3 linked regions of the Oryctolagus cuniculus genome follow. The protein of the gene in region 1 purifies or fractionates together with the protein of each later gene. This does not show direct contact. Links are inferred from orthologs where the notes say so. Each region holds a gene or a part of one and is shown in the gene's direction. Other genes may lie near its edges.

Region 1 (5,421 bases):
GGCCACCGCGGCTGGTGTGCTGCGGCCGACGCACCACACTGATCCGATGGCAGGAGCCAGGTACTTCTGGTCTCCCAGAGAGCCAGGTACTTCTGGTCTCCCATGGGGTGCAGGGCCCAAGCACTTGGGCCATCCTCCACTGCACTCCCTGGCCACAGCAGAGAGCTGGCCTGGAAGAGGGGCAAGCGGGACAGAATCCGGCGCCCCCATCAGGACTAGAACCCGGTGTGCTGGCACTGCAAGGCGGAGGATTAGCCTAGTGAGCCGCGGCGCCGGCCAGTAAACCTTTTTTAAAAAGAGTTTAAGGGGCTGGTGCTGTGGCGCAGCAGGTTAATGCCCTGGCCTGAAGCATCGGCATCCCATACGGGTGCAGGTCCGAGACCCGGCTGCTCCACTTCCCATCCAGCTCTCTGCTGTGGCCTGGGAAAGCAGTAGATGATGGCCCACAACCTTGGGCTCCTGCACCTGTGTGGGAGACCAGGAAGAAGCTCCTGGCTCCTGGCTTCAGATCGGCGCAGCTCCTGCCATTGCAGCCAATTAAGAAGTGAACCATTGGATGGAAGACTTCTCTCTCTCTCTTTTTGCCTCTCCTCTCTCTGCATAACTCTGACTTTCAAAAAAAATAGTTTAAAAAAATTGGGGACTGGCATTGTGGTGTAGCAGGATATACCACTGGTGATGCTGACATCCCATACAGGAGTACCGGTTCTAGTCCTGGCTATTCTGCTTCTGATCCAGCTCCCTGCTAATGTACCTGGGAAGGCAGTGGAAGATGGCCCATGTGTTTGGATGCCTGCCACCCACCTGGGAAATGCATATGAAGTTCCTGTCTCCTGGCTTTGGCCTGGTCCAGACCTGGTTGAGGTAGCCATTCAGGGAATGAACCAGCAAATGGAAGACACTTCTTTCTCTGTCACTCTGCCTTTCAAATAAATAAAATGCATCTTTAAAAAATTATTTTAGGGGCCAATGCTGTAATGCAGTGGGTTCAAGCCATGGCCTGCAGCACTGGCATCCCGTATGGGCACAGGTTCAAGTCCAGCTTCTCCACTTCTGATCCAGCTCACTGCAAATGTGCCAGGGAAAGCAGAGAATGGCCCAAGTGTTTGTGCCCCTGCACCCCTATGTGGGAGACTTAGAGGAAGCTCCTGGCTCCTGGCCTTGGCCTGGCCCAGCCCTGAGAGTTGTATCGATTTGCAGAGTGAACCAGCAGATGGAAGATTTCTCTCTCACTCCCTCCTTTCTGAAACTCTGCCTTTCAAATAAATAAATCTTTAAATATTTTTTAAAAAAATCAAATAGCTTTATAGTGTGATCCCATTTTTACTGTATATATGTATATATTTGTATGTATATATAATACTTGAAGGGATATATATTAAATGTCATCAGGGTTGGGCCGACGCCTGCAGCTCTGGCATCCCACATGGGCATTGGTTCTAGTTGCAGCTGCTCCTCTTCTGATCTAGCTCTCTGCTATGGCCTGGGAAAGCAGAAGATGGCCCAAGTCCTTGGGCCCCTGCACCCATATGGGAGACCAGGAGGAGGCTCCCGGCTTCGGATTGGCACAGCTCTGGACATTGCAGTCACTAGGGGAGTGAATTAGTGAATCAAAGACTTTCCCCCCCACCCCACCCCCCGCTGCCTCTCTGTAGCTCTGACTTTAAAATAAATAAATAAATCTTTAAATAACAATAATAATAATTGGAGTCCAGGCAGGGGCCGAGAGGGGGGATGGTCGGACCACAGCCTTCAGCTTCCTCTGCGTCCACGGAATGGTTCCCATGCCTGCTTCTGGTGTTCACCTTCCCTGCTTGTTTCTCTCTCTCTCTGTCTTCCCTACCTCTACGAGTTCTCCTAGATTTCTGATTCTCCTGACTCGGGAGCCAAACGCTTCCTCCACCGGCCCATCTGTCACCAGTCCCGCTCGGGGAACGCACCCGGGTCGCGCCCCCCCTGGGGCGGGCCGGGAGGGGCGGGGCGGCGGCGGCCCCGGCGGCGGCGCAGGCGCACTGGGCTCGGCGCGCGGAACTGCAGCCATGGAGCAGGCACCTCCGGACCCCGAGCGGCAGCTGCAGCCTGCGCCCCTGGAGCCGCTAGGCAGCTCCGACGCTGGGCTGGAGGCTGCGGTCGGGGAGGGCGCGGACGGGGCCAAGGAAGAGGGCTCCGGGGCCGACACGGTGAGGAGGAGGGCGGCCGAGGCCTCGGGGCCTGTGTCTGGGCCTAGCGGGCTGGGCTGGGCAGGGCAGGGCTGGGCTGGCGGAGGCTGAGGGCTTCGGCCCGGGGGGCCGCTGTGCTGGGGCTGCGGGGCCGCAGCTGCTGTGGGCGGAAGGCTCAGTGGGGACTGGGGACCCCTGGGGTGGGGGGCGAGCGTCGGCGCTGCGGGGACCCAGGGCAGGGGACGTGGGGGTGCGGCGCTGGGGCGCTGAGGCTGGAGGGGCGTGGGTTTCAGCGGTCGAGAGAAGGGCAGGCGTGGAGTTTCAGGGGCGGTGGGTTTGTGGGGGCTTGAGAGGGGAGGGGTTGGGGAGTGGGATGAGGCGCGCATCTCGGGGCTCTCAGGGTGGTTGGCCCGGTGCTACCGCCCATCAGGAAACTGAAGAACGGGTCAGGTTCAGGAGAAGATAAAATTGAAGGCACATTTTCCAAACACCTCATTTGGCTTTAATTTCTTGAATTGGGGGCGTGATTTGGAGGCTCCTCGGTGTTCCGTGTGTGTAGCCGCTTGGGACAGTTCCTGTGGTGGTGATTTTCATTTGCTAGAAAGTAAAAGGGGAAAAACGTACCGTCTTAGATTTGTAAGCGCTTCCGGTCCAAAGTGTTTTTCACGTACGTGGCGGGATTTGCAGACCACCGACCCGGAGGCTCCTGCCTTGGGCATTGCTCATCCAGTCATTTTGGGTTTTTCTTGATCGAATGGCGGGCCCCATGTTAAACTGCCCATCCGTGTGATGGATAAAGCAAAGCTGTTCATTGGATGTAGCTAGGAGGCCTCTTCGGCTTGCCACGGATTTCAGCTGAAACAGGAGTTAAAGATTTGGCCTACTGAGGAAAATACCAAGGTAGGGAGAGGAGCAGGAAGACTTGTTTACGGTATGATATGCTTGTAATTTTTCTTTAGGTTAAAAACCCATTTTTTTAAAGGAGTGCTTAGGTTGGCAGCAGCAAAAATGAGAGAACGGTGTTGAGATGCCCACATGCCCCCTGCCTGGCGGGGGGGTACTGAGCCTTCTGCAGGGGCCCAGCCCACAACCAAGTGTGTGAGTGTGCTTTTGTTCCCTCGCTGGCAGGCCTTATCACTCCAGGTCCACAGTTTACATTAGTGCTGACTCCTCGTGTTGGACAGACCTTACCCGTGTCCACCATTGCAATAGCCTCTCTCTCTTCATTGCCATGAAGATCCTCTGGGCTCTGCCTGTTGGTTGGTCTTTCCCCTCAACTGCTGGCAACCACTGATCTAACTGTTTCCGTAGTTGTGGCTTTCCCAGTCTGCCAGGGAGCTGGACTCATACTGAGATTGGCATCTTTCACTTTGTAGTGAGCATTTGAGGTCCCTCATGGCTTTTCATAGCTGAGTAGTTCTGTTCTTTTTAGCACTGAGGAATCGTCCGTTGTCTGCATGTACCAGTTTGTTTATCCATTCACTTACTGGGGTACACCTTGGCACTTTGGAGTTTTGGCAGTTAGGAATAAAGCTGCTGTAAACGTGTGTGTGTACAGGTTTCTGTGTGGACATAAGTTTTTAACTCCTTTGGGTGAATGCCAAGTAGCGTGATCACTGGGTCATTTGGTACCAGCATGTTTTTTGGAGAAGCTGCCAACTTGACTTTACCTTCCCACCAGAGATAAGTGAGAGTTTGTGTTCTAGACATCCTCATCAGCCATTGGTGTTGTCGGTGTTCTCGACTTGGGCCACCGTGGATGGGGATTTCCGTGTTTTGATTGCGTTTCCCTGAGGACAGCTGATGGGGACCATCTTTGTGTGGGCTTGTTTGCTATCTGTGAATCTTTGGTGATGTGTCTGGTAGGAAGGACTTTTGCCCCTTCTAAAAATTAGGTGGTTTTTCTGTTGTTGAGTTTTACCTTTCCATTTCATTTTTCCCTAAATTTTAGAATTATTTGTGGAGTGGTCAAAGGATCTCATATTAAATGTGAGAGAAGTGTATATTCTGTCAGTGCATAAATTTGACTGTTACATGATTTTTTAATGTAGATTCTCACCCATGACATAATCTTTCTTTTGAAAATAGTGTGCATTCAAATTATATCAGTATGCAAACAAGGCTGTCACAAAATAATTAACAGTTCCTTTGAAGACTCCATCCATTCTCTTGTATTCCAGCTCCTTTCCTCCACCACAGTTAACCAGTATTCTAACTTTTTAAAATTTTATTTATTTATTTTTAAAGATTTATTTTTTTGAGAGCTAGAGTTGCAGACAGAGAGGGAGAGACAGAGAGTAAGGACTTCCATCTGTTGGTTCACTCCCCAAATGGCCGCAATGGCTGGAGCTGGGCAGATCCAAAGCCAAGAGCCAGGAGCTTCTCTGGGTCTCCCACACGGGTGCAGGGGCCCAAGCACTTGGGCCATCTACTGCTTTCCCAGGCCATAGCAGAGAGCTGGATTGGAAGAGGAGCAGCCAGGACACAAACCAGTGCCACGTGGGATGCCGGTGCAGCAGGCAGAGGCTTAGCCCACAAAACCATAGTGCCTACCCAGTATTCTGAATTTTGTGCTGGTTAATTCTTGCTTTTGGTTATTATGTTTCCATATGTATCCCTAAACAGTGTATGAGGAGGTCTTCAAAAAGGTAATAGAAAATGTATACTGTGAGAAAACTGCATGGATTTCAATTTCTTTTTTTTAATCAAATCTAAATTCTATTTTTTTCCACAAACTTTTTGAATTATTTAGGTTTTTGCTGATTTTTGAGACTACATATGTGGATTCATTTTTCTGTGATTCCCTTTCCTTTGAGATTCGTCTAAAATGTGGTTTAGTTTGTTTTCATGACTGCAGCCTGCCACTTTGTAGATATTCCTTTTTTTTTTTTAAATAAATCTCACACTTACAATTTTTTTAACTTATTTATTTGGAAGGCAAAGAGACAGAGAGACATCTCATCTGCTGTCTTACTCCCCAGATGCCCACAACAGCCAGCACTGGGCCAGGCTGAAGCTCAGAGACAGGAAGGGTGGCAGGGACCCAAGTACTTGAGCCATCACCTGCTGTGTCCCAGAGTGGGCATTAGCGGGAAGCTGGAATCAAGAGCAGGGCCAGAAGATCAGTTTAGTATACATTAAGTAAAGATTTCAACCGTTTGCACCCCCATAGAAACACAAAGTGAAATATACTGTTTGAGTACTCGTTATAGCATTAAGCCTCAATGTACAGCACATTAAGGACAGAGATCCTACATGAGGA
Region 2 (5,525 bases), on another chromosome or scaffold:
TCTGGGATTTTGAATCTACACCTAACAACACAGAGAAATGGAATTGTGGGGATTTTTTTTTTTTTTTTTTTGTGGCAGCAACAGCAGGTGAGATTCTCAAAGGCAGCTATGGTACTAGAGTCAGGGCTAACACCTGAAATGTGGTGCCACAGGTGTCAATGGCAGTATGTGAAGGAGGTGTGGCATCTAATACCAGGCAATGGTGGCAGCAAAGCCTGTGCCATTGGTTCTGTGGTACGGTTTTGCCTGTGAGCCGGGCTGTGCAGCTCTGGCTTGGTCTGGCCACTTTCTGGTCTTGTTTGTTCTCTATGCTTCCTGGGAATTCTGTGAGTCATGGTATCATTAAGAATTTCCTGGTTTACACTGCAATTAGGAGATCTTGAATCTGCCTCACTAGCCAGAAGGAACTTAGACAGGAAAAACAGTGTTTCAATAACTTGTATTCCTTATAAGCCTTAGCAGAGACTATTTGAGTGCATACGTGTGATACTGTGGTTTATCAATACATATTGTGATCTTTGACCTATAAATCTTATTGTTTACTAAGGGATGTAAGACATGTATGAAACAAATCCAATCTGTAAGACAGACTAAAACTAAATGTTGAATTGGGAACCAATTGTCACTTGGCAAGTCTTTCTGAAAGAGATGGGACAGACGGGTAGGGAACCAGAAAGGTCAAGAACAAGTGTGGATGTTCTTTGGCCAATGACTAACCTGACTACAAGGTGGGTCCCTGTCCTGAAGCCAACGAGAGGTACTTTTGAATGGTTAAGCGGTTGTACATTATTAAGACCATGTCCTCGGATCAGAAATGAAGGTATTCTCCACTTACCCAAATAGGGCTTTCCTACATATAGTCTTTAATTTTTTAGAAAAGTTTAGACAGGGCTTATGGAGGAGACGGGATGAAAAGCAGTAAATGAGAAAACCTGATGTTTTAAAAATACTCCACTTTGCATTTGATCTTCCACTATTTTTGGAGTTCACTTATTTTTGTTTAAATAACAATGTTGCAACTGAAAAATTATAGCTGTGCACTGGCAGAGCAAGGGCTGAAGATCATTTTCCCCAGCAGCGTCCAGCCCCGCTGGCTGCTCTTGGCTCTTAAGAACATTCTTGCTCATCAACTTCAGGAAGACTTCCTGGAGTAAAGACGCGTTTGAAAGTGGCTGAAGGCAGTTTTTAGATCTCAGCTTCCTTTGTTTGATAGTGAAATGACCGCGGGCCTGTTACTGGGTTTAAAATCGATCACAAAATGAGGAGGTTTTCATGTTTGTTATTTTTACATTAGGTGAACAGGGACAGACTCGAAAATCACAACCAAGAAGGCAGGCAACCATTAACCACAGGAAACACAGATTTTTTTATTTTTTTCCTCTCTGCCTGCCAGCCTCGCTGTGGATCCCGCGAAGCGGACGCTTTGCTCGGTGGCCTCTTTCCCAGAGCCCGCCGCCGCGGAAACAGTCGGCTGGGACAGTGCGGGCCGCCCGTCTCTTACCTTCCAGGGGCGGTCGGCCTTCTCCCAACCCGCGCCGGCAGCCCCACCGTCCCACCCCTACCCTCTCGCCAGCTTCAGGCCGGGCGGGGACGCACTCCGGCCCGCGGCCACCCTGCCCGGCCGGGCGCTGGCCCCGGCAGTTCCGCGTCTGCGCAGCGGGCGAGGGGCTGGAGCGGGGCCGGCCGGGGAGGCGCAGGATGCGCGGGAGCCAATGGGCACGCTCGGGGGTGCCGGGCTGGCGGCGGCGGCGGCGGCCGGGCGCGCACTCTCGGGATGGAGGGCGAGCGCCGGGCATCTCAGGCGCGCTCCTCGGGCCTCCCGGCCGGGGGCGCCGACGGGGAGAGCCCGGGGGGCGGCGCCCCCTTCGCGGGCAGCAGCGGCTCCTCCGCCCTGCTGCAGTCTGAGGTGCTGGATCTAGACGAGGACGAGGACGACCTGGAGGTGTTCAGTAAGGTGAGGGCGGCGGCGGAGGCGGCGCGTCCCGGGAAAGTTCCGAGGCAACTCCGCGAGTTGTCACCGCTGCGCTGGCGGCTGCCTCCCGCGCGCCCGCCCTCCCCGCGCGGAGGCTCGGGGCTGGAGGTGGGTGCGGCCAGCCCCAGGCTGTGGGACCCCTCCGGGACTCTCTCCTGGCACCCGGGGCTGCGTCCCCGCGGGGTTCCCAACTGTAGCCGCTCCCTTTTCCGCACTTTGACCTTCCGCTCCGCAGGGCCGTGCTCCGTGGAGTGTGCAAAGTTGTGATTTGTTTCGCTCTGCGCTTCGCTGACACGGACATCTCTCGACAGTACCCGTACCCCAGAGGCTGGCGGCCCGAAACTGCCCTCGCCCTTACCAGCTTCTTTTCGGGGGCTGGCCAGCCCTGGACTCCGGGAGAGAGATCAGCTGAGCGAAGAGACATTATTTTGATTTCGTGCTGCTGGTTGTGGATTGGAGACTTGGGTGACACCCGAGGCGTGTCTCCAGTCCAGCGGGAATGGGTGCGAGGCCATCCCCCCAACAGGAGGCGGCGGCTGGAATCAGGCTCACAGGAAGCCCCTGGGCTGCTCAGCCCAGGACTTTGCAGATGGTCGCTGGGGCCACCAAGCCCACAGCCAGCGCTTTCGTTTTGTTTTCCCTTCCTTTCCCACTGGAAGTCTAGTACCACATGCCCTTCCAAGCTTGTGTTAGACTTGCGGGGAAATTGACTTCTTGGCGTTTTCTTGTAGAATTTTGGTGTGGGTAGACTGATGGTTATCATTTCTTAAAGACTTTTGGAAAAGAAAAATGCCAGTGGGGCGGTTGGCTGAAACTCCAGTCTGCAGATGCTGCTTGAAGAAGACTTGAGTTCCGCTCGGAATCTTGTTGTGAAGAAGGCTGTGCAGTAGTCAGATGCTACCCTGAGATGCTGGGTGCAGCAGCCTTCAGACCTCACAGCTGCCCTGGCGATGGGAGAGCCAGCCCAAGTAAGACAGGGAGCACACATATGCTCACTCCCAAAGGAATGTGTGGGATTTATGTTTTCTTAGGGAATAAATGGAATGGTAGGCCCAGTCCTAGTCTAGATTTCAGGGTGTCTGTCTCCTGACTTTTTAGTTTATTTACATCATAAAATAATGCAGTTATTTTACATTGGTTGTAAAAGGTTAACACTGTCTTACATTTCACATATCCTTTATGTTCAGATCTGGGACAATTGGGCAGTTGGTTGATTTCTTCTTCTTTTTTTTTTTTTTTTTTTTTTTTTGCCCTTTAAGTCTGTGGGTCTTACTTCATGGCTATGCATTGGGAAACTGGCAACAGTGTGTGTGTGTGTGCTGGGGGGCGTGGAGTGCTGGGAGTGGCAGTTGTGTATCAGAATCATCTGGAATTGTTTTAACCCTAACCCAATGGGTGGTCTCTCTTAAGAGTCCCAGCCAGCTCTTGAGAATTACTGTGTTCGTGAGGTCAGAGGTGGGCATGGGCGAAGCTGATGAAATTCAAGCTTCCAACTCTTCTTCCCCTGGCCTCTGGCAATGTTTGGAGTTGCTGGAGTTGCGGCTGTTTTAGGTGGAATGGACAAGCCAGGTTGCAACCAGGAGCACTTCTGATAAATCACCTAAAGCTGCCTCAGAGTAGGAAATCTAGATCTGCATGGTCAGGTTCATCTATTGAGATTTCTAAGTAAAATTTGGTTTTTCTGCCAAATTTTGTATTCTTTTTAAAAGAGAGCCTCAGGCTAGTACAGCTGGATCTACCTTGCTTGTTCATGTTGTATAACTTAAACTGGCCATGTAGATTGAGCTAAGGGCATAATAGTGTTCAAAGTTTGGAAAGGTCACTGTATTTGAGAAACTTTAAAACTGACCATCTACTTATGTTACAGTAAGTTAAGAATTTCAGCCATAAACCATCGTTAGACAAGCAAATGCAAGGCAGTCTCCATTTGCCTATCCTTTCCTCTTCCCACTTTTTAGCCTGCTTCTCTCTAGAAGTCCACTGCAGTCAGTCCACCCAAGGATATTAATTAACAATTGTTTATGTAGCAGTCTGTTTCTGTCCTCAAGTACTTTAACATCCACCACTTTCATATTCAGTTTGCATTCACATTTGTAGCCTCTTTATTCCCTTAGATGGGGTAGGTACAGTCTGGCCCATGGGCCATGTAAGGCCTGCAGAATCCTTTGGTCTGGCCCTGTCAAGGCAACCGTAGGTGGGAGTCGAAATTCAACTAATCTATAGCGGGCTAATTTTTAAAAAATTTATATTTACTCATTTATTTGAAAGGCAGAGAAAGACAGAGAGAGAGATCTTGCATGTGTTGTTTCACTCCCCAAATGGCCAAAGCAATCAGGGCTGGACCAGGCCAAAGCCAGGAGCCAGAAGCTTCTTCTAGGTCTCCCATGGGAGTTTGGGGACCTAAGGACTTAGGCCATCTTCCATGGCTTTCCCAGGCTCATGAGCAGGGAGCTTGATAGGAAGTGAAGCAGCTAGGACCTGAACCGGCACCATATGGGATGCTGGCACAGCAGACAGAGGCTTAACCTGCTATGCTGAGGAGCCGGCCCCAATAGCAGGGTAACTTTTAAGTCGATAATTTTGCATGGCCTATGAATGATATGAATATCAAAATGGCCCCAGGCAGAAAAAACATTCCCTGCTCCTCCTTTAGATGATTTGTAAAAGTATTTCTGTTATCCTCCTCCAGACTTTTTAAAAGAATATGAACTTTGCTTTATTATTCCTTTTCTTCCTACAATACATTAGAAATACATAGTTTTATAAAATATGTTGTGCTATGTGTTCTTAGAAAAACATGCAAGATTCAATTCTGGCTATCACAATCTGGCAATTTAGGGGAGAAGACAGTCTAAATGGCCCTAGAAGTGAAGATGAATGGAAAGTGTAACCAAATGGTGTTTTGAGTTTGCAAATAATCCACTGAGGAGAGAATGATGTCAAACTCAGGAGACCTGCAGATGCTATTGATTTGAAAGAGTAAGTATAGATGTTAGAAGGGAGGAGAAGATGACTGGTGATCTAGAAACAATAAAACACATGAAGAGAAAAAAGATATAAATAGTGGCATATTAAAGACTTGTGTAAGAACTAGGCCAAAGTGAAATGAGGCTTAGAAAAATTTAACTAGAGAAAAAGGGCCAGTTTCATTATACTTCAAGGAAAACATTTTCCTTTTGGGGAAAATAATATATCAAGATAACACGAATTGCTTTATTTTTATTATACACTGTAATGTGTAGCAAAAGCAGCAGTTGAAACACAGCTTACCTACATAGATCATAATGGGCACTATCATGCTTTTCTGGTGCTCAGTAAAGGGTAGCTCCTGTTATTGGTCTCTTTAAAGGTCCTGTGGACCATAAAGTGAGATTTGGTTATCAGGGACTTTATGCATGTAATCTTCCTCATCACAGCTGCTCAACTTTGAGCTGTCTTGGAATGTAGGACTGCTGCACACAAAATAGAGATAGGTAAATATCCTGTTTAAAAATTTTTTTAATGATTTTATTTATTTATCTGAGAGGTAGAGTTACAGACAGAGCGAGGGAGA
Region 3 (5,489 bases), on another chromosome or scaffold:
CGGCGCCGTGGCTCAATAGGCTAATCCTCCACCTTGCAGCGCCGGCACACCGGGTTCTAGTCCCGGTTGGGGTGCCGGATTCTGTCCCGGTTGCCCCTCTTCCAGGCCAGCTCTCTGCTATGGCCAGGGAGTGCAGTGGAGGATGGCCCAGGTGCTTGGGCCCTGCACCCCATGGGAGACCAGGAAAAGCACCTGGCTCCTGGCTCCTGCCATCGGATCAGCACGGTGCGCCGGCTGCAGCGGCGGCCATTGGAGGGTGAACCAATGGCAAAGGAAGACCTTTCTCTCTCTGTCTCTCTCTCTCACTGTCCACTCTGCCTGTCAAAAAAAAAAAAAAGATTTAAAAAAAAATGTAAGATTTATCTTATTTGAAAGGCAGAATAACAGAGAATGAGAGAGAGAGATAGGGAGGGAGAGATCTTTCATCAGCTAGTGCACTCCCCAAATGGCTGCAAAAGTGATGGTGGTTGGAACTTCATCTGGGTCTCCCACGTGGGTGGGTGGCAGGGGCTCAATACTTGAGCCATCACCTGCTGCCTCCCACGGTGCACATTAGCAGGATGTCGGGACTGGAACCCAGGCACTCCGACGTGGGCTATGGGCAACCCAACCAGTGTCTTAACCGCTAGGCCAGATGCCTGCCTGGTGCTGTATATTTTAGTGCTAATTCAGTGGTGGTTTGTAAACTGCCCCGGAATCTAAAAGCTCTGACAGTTTTACCCAGCTCCAAGAGGCCCAGATGCCAGCATGCCTGTGAGCCAGATGCAGCACTTAACATTGTTCCCAGCACCTTCTTTTCCCAGCCATGGCAGACCACGTGGGAGACATAAACCAACACAGTTTGAAGGCTACAGGTCCAACTGCCTGAAGCAGACCGGGAGAGATCCAGGGAGGTCTTTGAAGCTCAGTGAGTGACTGTATATTGGGTCAGTTTCTACTTTGTCTGCAGAGACAAAGTGAGGTGGCAGAAGGAGGTGAACGTACTACACCCCAAAGAGCTGGAAGTAATGCCCGGACATCCTCCACCAGGCCAGCAAGTAAAGCTGATTAAGCAGCTCAGCCAAAGGCCTGGGAAGGAAGCAGAACAAACAACTTGAGCTTAGCAGTCTAAGTCTAGGAGTCATAAGTCATCGGTAGCCCTTTCTCCTTTCTCGTTCTTTATTGATGCGGATCTTTACAGCGGAGGAAGCAAGGTGGCCTGGGGGCGTTCCCCGGCTCCTTTGACCCTCATGACCCTTGAGCCTTCTATCTTGGGTCCCTTCTGCACGTGCAACAGGGGCCAGGACACCTCCACTCCCGGGCCCACCAAGCCCTGGGCCCCAGGCGTGGCTGCCGCGGGCGAAATGGAACAGGATCCTTCCACCGGGGATTTCCGTTAAACATTTGCCCTGGGGGCTTCGCTCAGCCTGCACCGAGCCAGCCTCCCAGCCGGGCGAGCTGGACGCCCGGAGGTCCGCGGCCCGGGGCCCAGCGCGCACTTCCTGCCGGGCGCCGGGCGGGGGCGGAGCCGCGCGTCTCCCCGCCCCCTCCCGGGCGGCTGAGACGCCAGGGGGCGGGGCCGCGAGCGGGTGGTGGGCGGCGTGGCGGGGTGGGCCGGGCGCTGGGGCCAAGGTGCCGGCGGACCCGCGGCGGGCGCGGGCGCGAGCGCGGAGCGGGGGCGCGCGGCGCGCAGCGGCCCAGCAGCCTGGCAGCCCAGCCCCGCGCGGGCAGAGGCGAGCGGCGGGCAGCGGCTGCCAGCCCCAGCAGTGCAGGGCCTCCGACCGAGCGGCGGCTGAGCGGGGCCTCGGCCCCGGGGCGCGCGGGGAGCTGTCGGCGCGTCCCAAACGGCGCTTGCCATGGCGGGCGGGCCCCCCAAGGCCCTGCCGTCCACGGGGCCCCAATCCCTGCGAGACGTGCAGCACCCGCTGGCCGGCTCCAGCAGCGAGGAGGCCATGGGCGGCGACAGCACGCCCAGCCCGGACCTGCTGATGGCCCGCAGCTTCGGTGACAAGGTGGGGCTCACGGGGCTGGGGACCGTCCGGGGCAGGGGGTGGGGGCAGAGATGATGGATCCGCAGCCACCTTGGGCACGGGGTCGCGCCCAGCGTGGCGCGCCCCTTTCCGGAGGACGGGCGTACGCTCGCCCCCGGAGCGCCCGGGTAAAGCATCTTTGTCGCCCCCCGTGGGGTCGCGGTCGCAGGCGAGGGGGGAGCGGCCGGAGAGGACGCTGCCGTGGCTGAGTCGGGGCGCGAGCGCCGGTGACAGCTGCTGGGGAGGGGTCCAGCCTGCGCGTGGGGGCGGAGACGTGTGTGCGTTGCGGGGCGCGCGTCCTGGGTGGGAGCCGAGCTGCCGAGGGACTTGGGGCGCCTCCAGTTCCCCGACTCCGCGGCTGTGTGCCTGCGGGAGCCTCCTCCTGCCCGGTGGGTAGTGTGTGGAGTGATCTTTGTTTAGTTTGCTGTTTGCCCTGGCGGTCACCTGACCCAGACCCGGCTGGCGAGGCTGTCTGTGGTTTTCCGTCTGGGGCTCCCTTGGTCTCCGACGGCCTACGCCTACCGCACAATTTAGGTTTGGCCGGGGCAGGTTTTGTGGTTGAGGGAAAGAAAGCTCGCCCTTTGACCTTCTTTGTGCACGGGGAGGCCCCTGATGGTCTCAGCACCGCACAGCTGCCCTGCTGCTTTGAGGGGCAAAGGGCAAGGGGCGGCATCTCCCTGCCCCCCCTTGCCAGTTCAGCGATTGTGTCGGGGCTGCTGCTGCTCCTAAGTCAGCCTGGTCCCCAGCACTTCCGCGTCCTGGCCGAATTCTCAGTGAATTCCTCCTTGTCCAGTGTTCCTAGGATCAAGGGAGCTGTGACTTCGTTCTCTCCTGAGATGTAAAGGTGTGTGATACGGCAAAAACGAGTCTGAGAAAATAAAACCCGATAGCCTTACAGCCCCAAGGGCTCTGGGCGCTCAGACTAACTTGCGAGTGGCTTCCCAGAGGGTTTGTGAAAGCAAAGAATTAAGAACAAGAAAACTCAAAAGGCACGTGAAACTGTTGGCTTGAGCAACTCAAGGAGTGTGTGTGTGTGTGTGTGTGTGTGGCTATTACTCTTTATAGAAGATTATAGGCTACCATATGAAGGCTTATGTTGGTTGGAAGTGTCTTGCTCCTAGCTGATGTTCAAAAAGTTAATTGTTGAATGACTTGAATCATTGGTTGCTTTCCTATGGACAGAGAAACTGGTCTTACATGAGTGTAGGATGGGAAGTGGAGTGAAATCTTCTGATTTTCTGTTCTGTGTAGGGTGGTGTGTTGATGATCCATTGCTGTGTGCTGAGTTACTCTGCAGCTTAGCACCGGAAAAGAGCACCTGCGGGTCAGACAGCTGGGCGCAGGTTCCCCAGACTCAGGGCGCCCCGGTGGCTGTAGTCATTTGGGCTGGACTGGAGGAGGATCTTCTTCCAAGCTCCCTGGTGGCTCTTGGCAGGCCTTACTCTCCATAGGGCTGTTCCACTTGGCAGCTGATTTCCCCCAGAGTGATCCAAGAGAGCCCAAGACTCCAACCAGTCTTGTATAACCTAGCCTTGGAAGGGGGTACCTCTGCCGTGTCTTGTCCGTCACACAGACCAGTGCTGGTGCCATGGGGAAGAGTGTGAATACTTGGACTTGACTGCCAGGGGTTGGGGATCACGGGGCCGTGGTGAAGGCTGCCATACGGTTGGCTGTTTTACACATTCGCTTGATGCCGTGCTGTTGGATGACACCTGACTCGAAGGACGGACATTTAATTGCTTAGAGACAAACGCCCCGTACCACCAAAATCTGGTTGGTCCGTGGGAAGTGAGGCCCATTCTGTATCCTGATACTTTCCTTTGCAGGATCAGTTCTGGGAGAGACGCTCTTGTAGGCATTATTATTAATTACTGAATATTTAATAAGGCTCCTAATAGCTATGGAGAGTGTCTTGTAGACACCGGTCTCAGAGGTCTGATTTATAGCAAGCCACTTTCCCTTAGGGGCAAGCATGGTAATTTCTTTCTCTGAGGGGAGTAACATTTTCCTTGAGTTTTGGCATGCACATGCGCTCTTGCGACTCTGGAGCAACGCCTGTGGAGAGAAGCTAGCGCGCTCCAGAGGTGACTCACAGCGGTGGAAGGAAGTGCTGTACGCCTGGCTTTCTCTTTCCTAGGGAGTGTGGGGTCCTCAGGGGGCCGGTCGGAAAGTCATTGTCGGTCTTCGGAAAAAAGCCTTGTTGGACTTTGGGGGTTTGTGATCCTGGATGACTGGCTTTCAGTGTCAATTCAGTTCTGGGAGAGCATGAGTATCTTTATCCAAAGGCTGCTCATGGGTTGGGATGGTTACGCGGAGGGAATTGCTTTCTGTGGCCTGGGATGGTGCCATGAACAGGGTGGCCCTGCGTATTGATTTGGCTGACACCCCGGTTGGCCTTCGCGGTGCTTGGGTAGGAGAGAAAGACCGCATGTGATGGACTTTCCGCCGGCCAGCTTCTCAAGTCATTCAAATCCTCGTGTGACGGGAGGAATGCTTTTTATCTGCCAAGTGTTGCCAAGACTGATTCTTTGATGCCAGCTAACTCACCAGGCCGTCTATCACTGCATCTTCCCCCTCCCCCTACAATATAAATAAATCACTTCGGCCCCAGCTCTTCTCCTGTGACTCAGCTCCAACTTCTGTTTGCCTCCCAACACTTGATACCTGAGCCCTGCTCTGTGGTTACCACCTCTTCCCGCATCCGTTACCTCTTAAGCCTGCAACCAACTTCCCACCCCTTCGGTCTCCTGGACTCCCCCTGAAATCTTTGAAATGGCTGTGTGCTTTCCTCTTAAAGCTTCTGCCTTCATCACCCACTTCCTTTTTGTTTTATTTAAAAAGTGGGGGGAAGGGGAGAGATCTTGCATCTGCTGGTTCATTCCCCAAATGGTCGTAACAACCAGGACTGGGCCAAGCCAGAGCCAAGAACCTGGAGCTCAATCTGGTCTCCCACAAGGGTGACAGGGACTCAAGTATTTGAGCCATCATCAGCTCATTTCCAGACATACTAGCAGGGAGCTGGGTTAGCAGCCAGAGTAGCAAGGACTTGAACCCACGCACTCCAGTGTGGGATGTGGGTGCTTTTAGCAGTGACTTACATGCTGTGCCAAACATCAGCCCCCTCCTAGACTGCATTTCTTATGGCCCCATGTTATCAGGTCAGGTAACCCGTTTGGTCCTGAGCGGAGAGAATTCTGGGAGCTTTCCTTGGGGGGAGGGCTGGGACCACCTGGAAAGTTATCAGGATCAGGGCAGGACTTTGACCTGCAAAATGCTGGGCTTCTGGAGCTTCCACAGTAGGTGCTGGTCTGCAGGTCCTTCTTGCACACACAGAGGCTTATTTTTTAACTTCTTGCCTAACAGGAGCAGCTGAAGGCTGTGAGGCAGTGCGGCTGGGCCTGGTGGAGCCTGGTGGAGAGTTACAAGGTGAGGGCAGGAAAGAGCGGGGAGCAGACTGTGCTGGGCCTGGTTGGGCCCCTT

The links. The genes of interacting proteins can lie anywhere in the genome.
Region 2: the proteins of SNX4 (region 1) and SNX7 purify together in Homo sapiens (affinity purification with mass spectrometry; 3 studies listed by BioGRID and IntAct, counting the BioPlex papers as one, with this or other methods). This does not show direct contact. The link is inferred for Oryctolagus cuniculus from reciprocal best matches to the Homo sapiens genes SNX4 and SNX7.
Region 3: the proteins of SNX4 (region 1) and SNX30 purify together in Homo sapiens (co-immunoprecipitation; 4 studies listed by BioGRID and IntAct, counting the BioPlex papers as one, with this or other methods). This does not show direct contact. The link is inferred for Oryctolagus cuniculus from reciprocal best matches to the Homo sapiens genes SNX4 and SNX30.

What each region holds. Positions count from the first base shown.
Region 1 is NC_091435.1:81,847,584-81,853,004, reverse strand, and holds the start of SNX4 (sorting nexin-4), read left to right. Parts: upstream 1-1,999; 5' UTR 2,000-2,039; coding exon 2,040-2,180; intron 2,181-5,421. UniProt on the Homo sapiens protein: Involved in the regulation of endocytosis and in several stages of intracellular trafficking. Plays a role in recycling endocytosed transferrin receptor and prevent its degradation.
Region 2 is NC_091438.1:71,810,348-71,815,872, reverse strand, and holds the start of SNX7 (sorting nexin-7), read left to right. Parts: upstream 1-1,720; 5' UTR 1,721-1,774; coding exon 1,775-1,954; intron 1,955-2,330; exon of another isoform or gene 2,331-2,982; intron 2,983-5,525. UniProt on the Homo sapiens protein: Involved in the regulation of endocytosis and in several stages of intracellular trafficking. Together with SNX4, involved in autophagosome assembly by regulating trafficking and recycling of phospholipid scramblase ATG9A.
Region 3 is NC_091432.1:216,286,666-216,292,154, forward strand, and holds the start of SNX30 (sorting nexin-30), read left to right. Parts: upstream 1-1,684; 5' UTR 1,685-1,835; coding exon 1,836-1,991; intron 1,992-5,489. UniProt on the Homo sapiens protein: Involved in the regulation of endocytosis and in several stages of intracellular trafficking. Together with SNX4, involved in autophagosome assembly.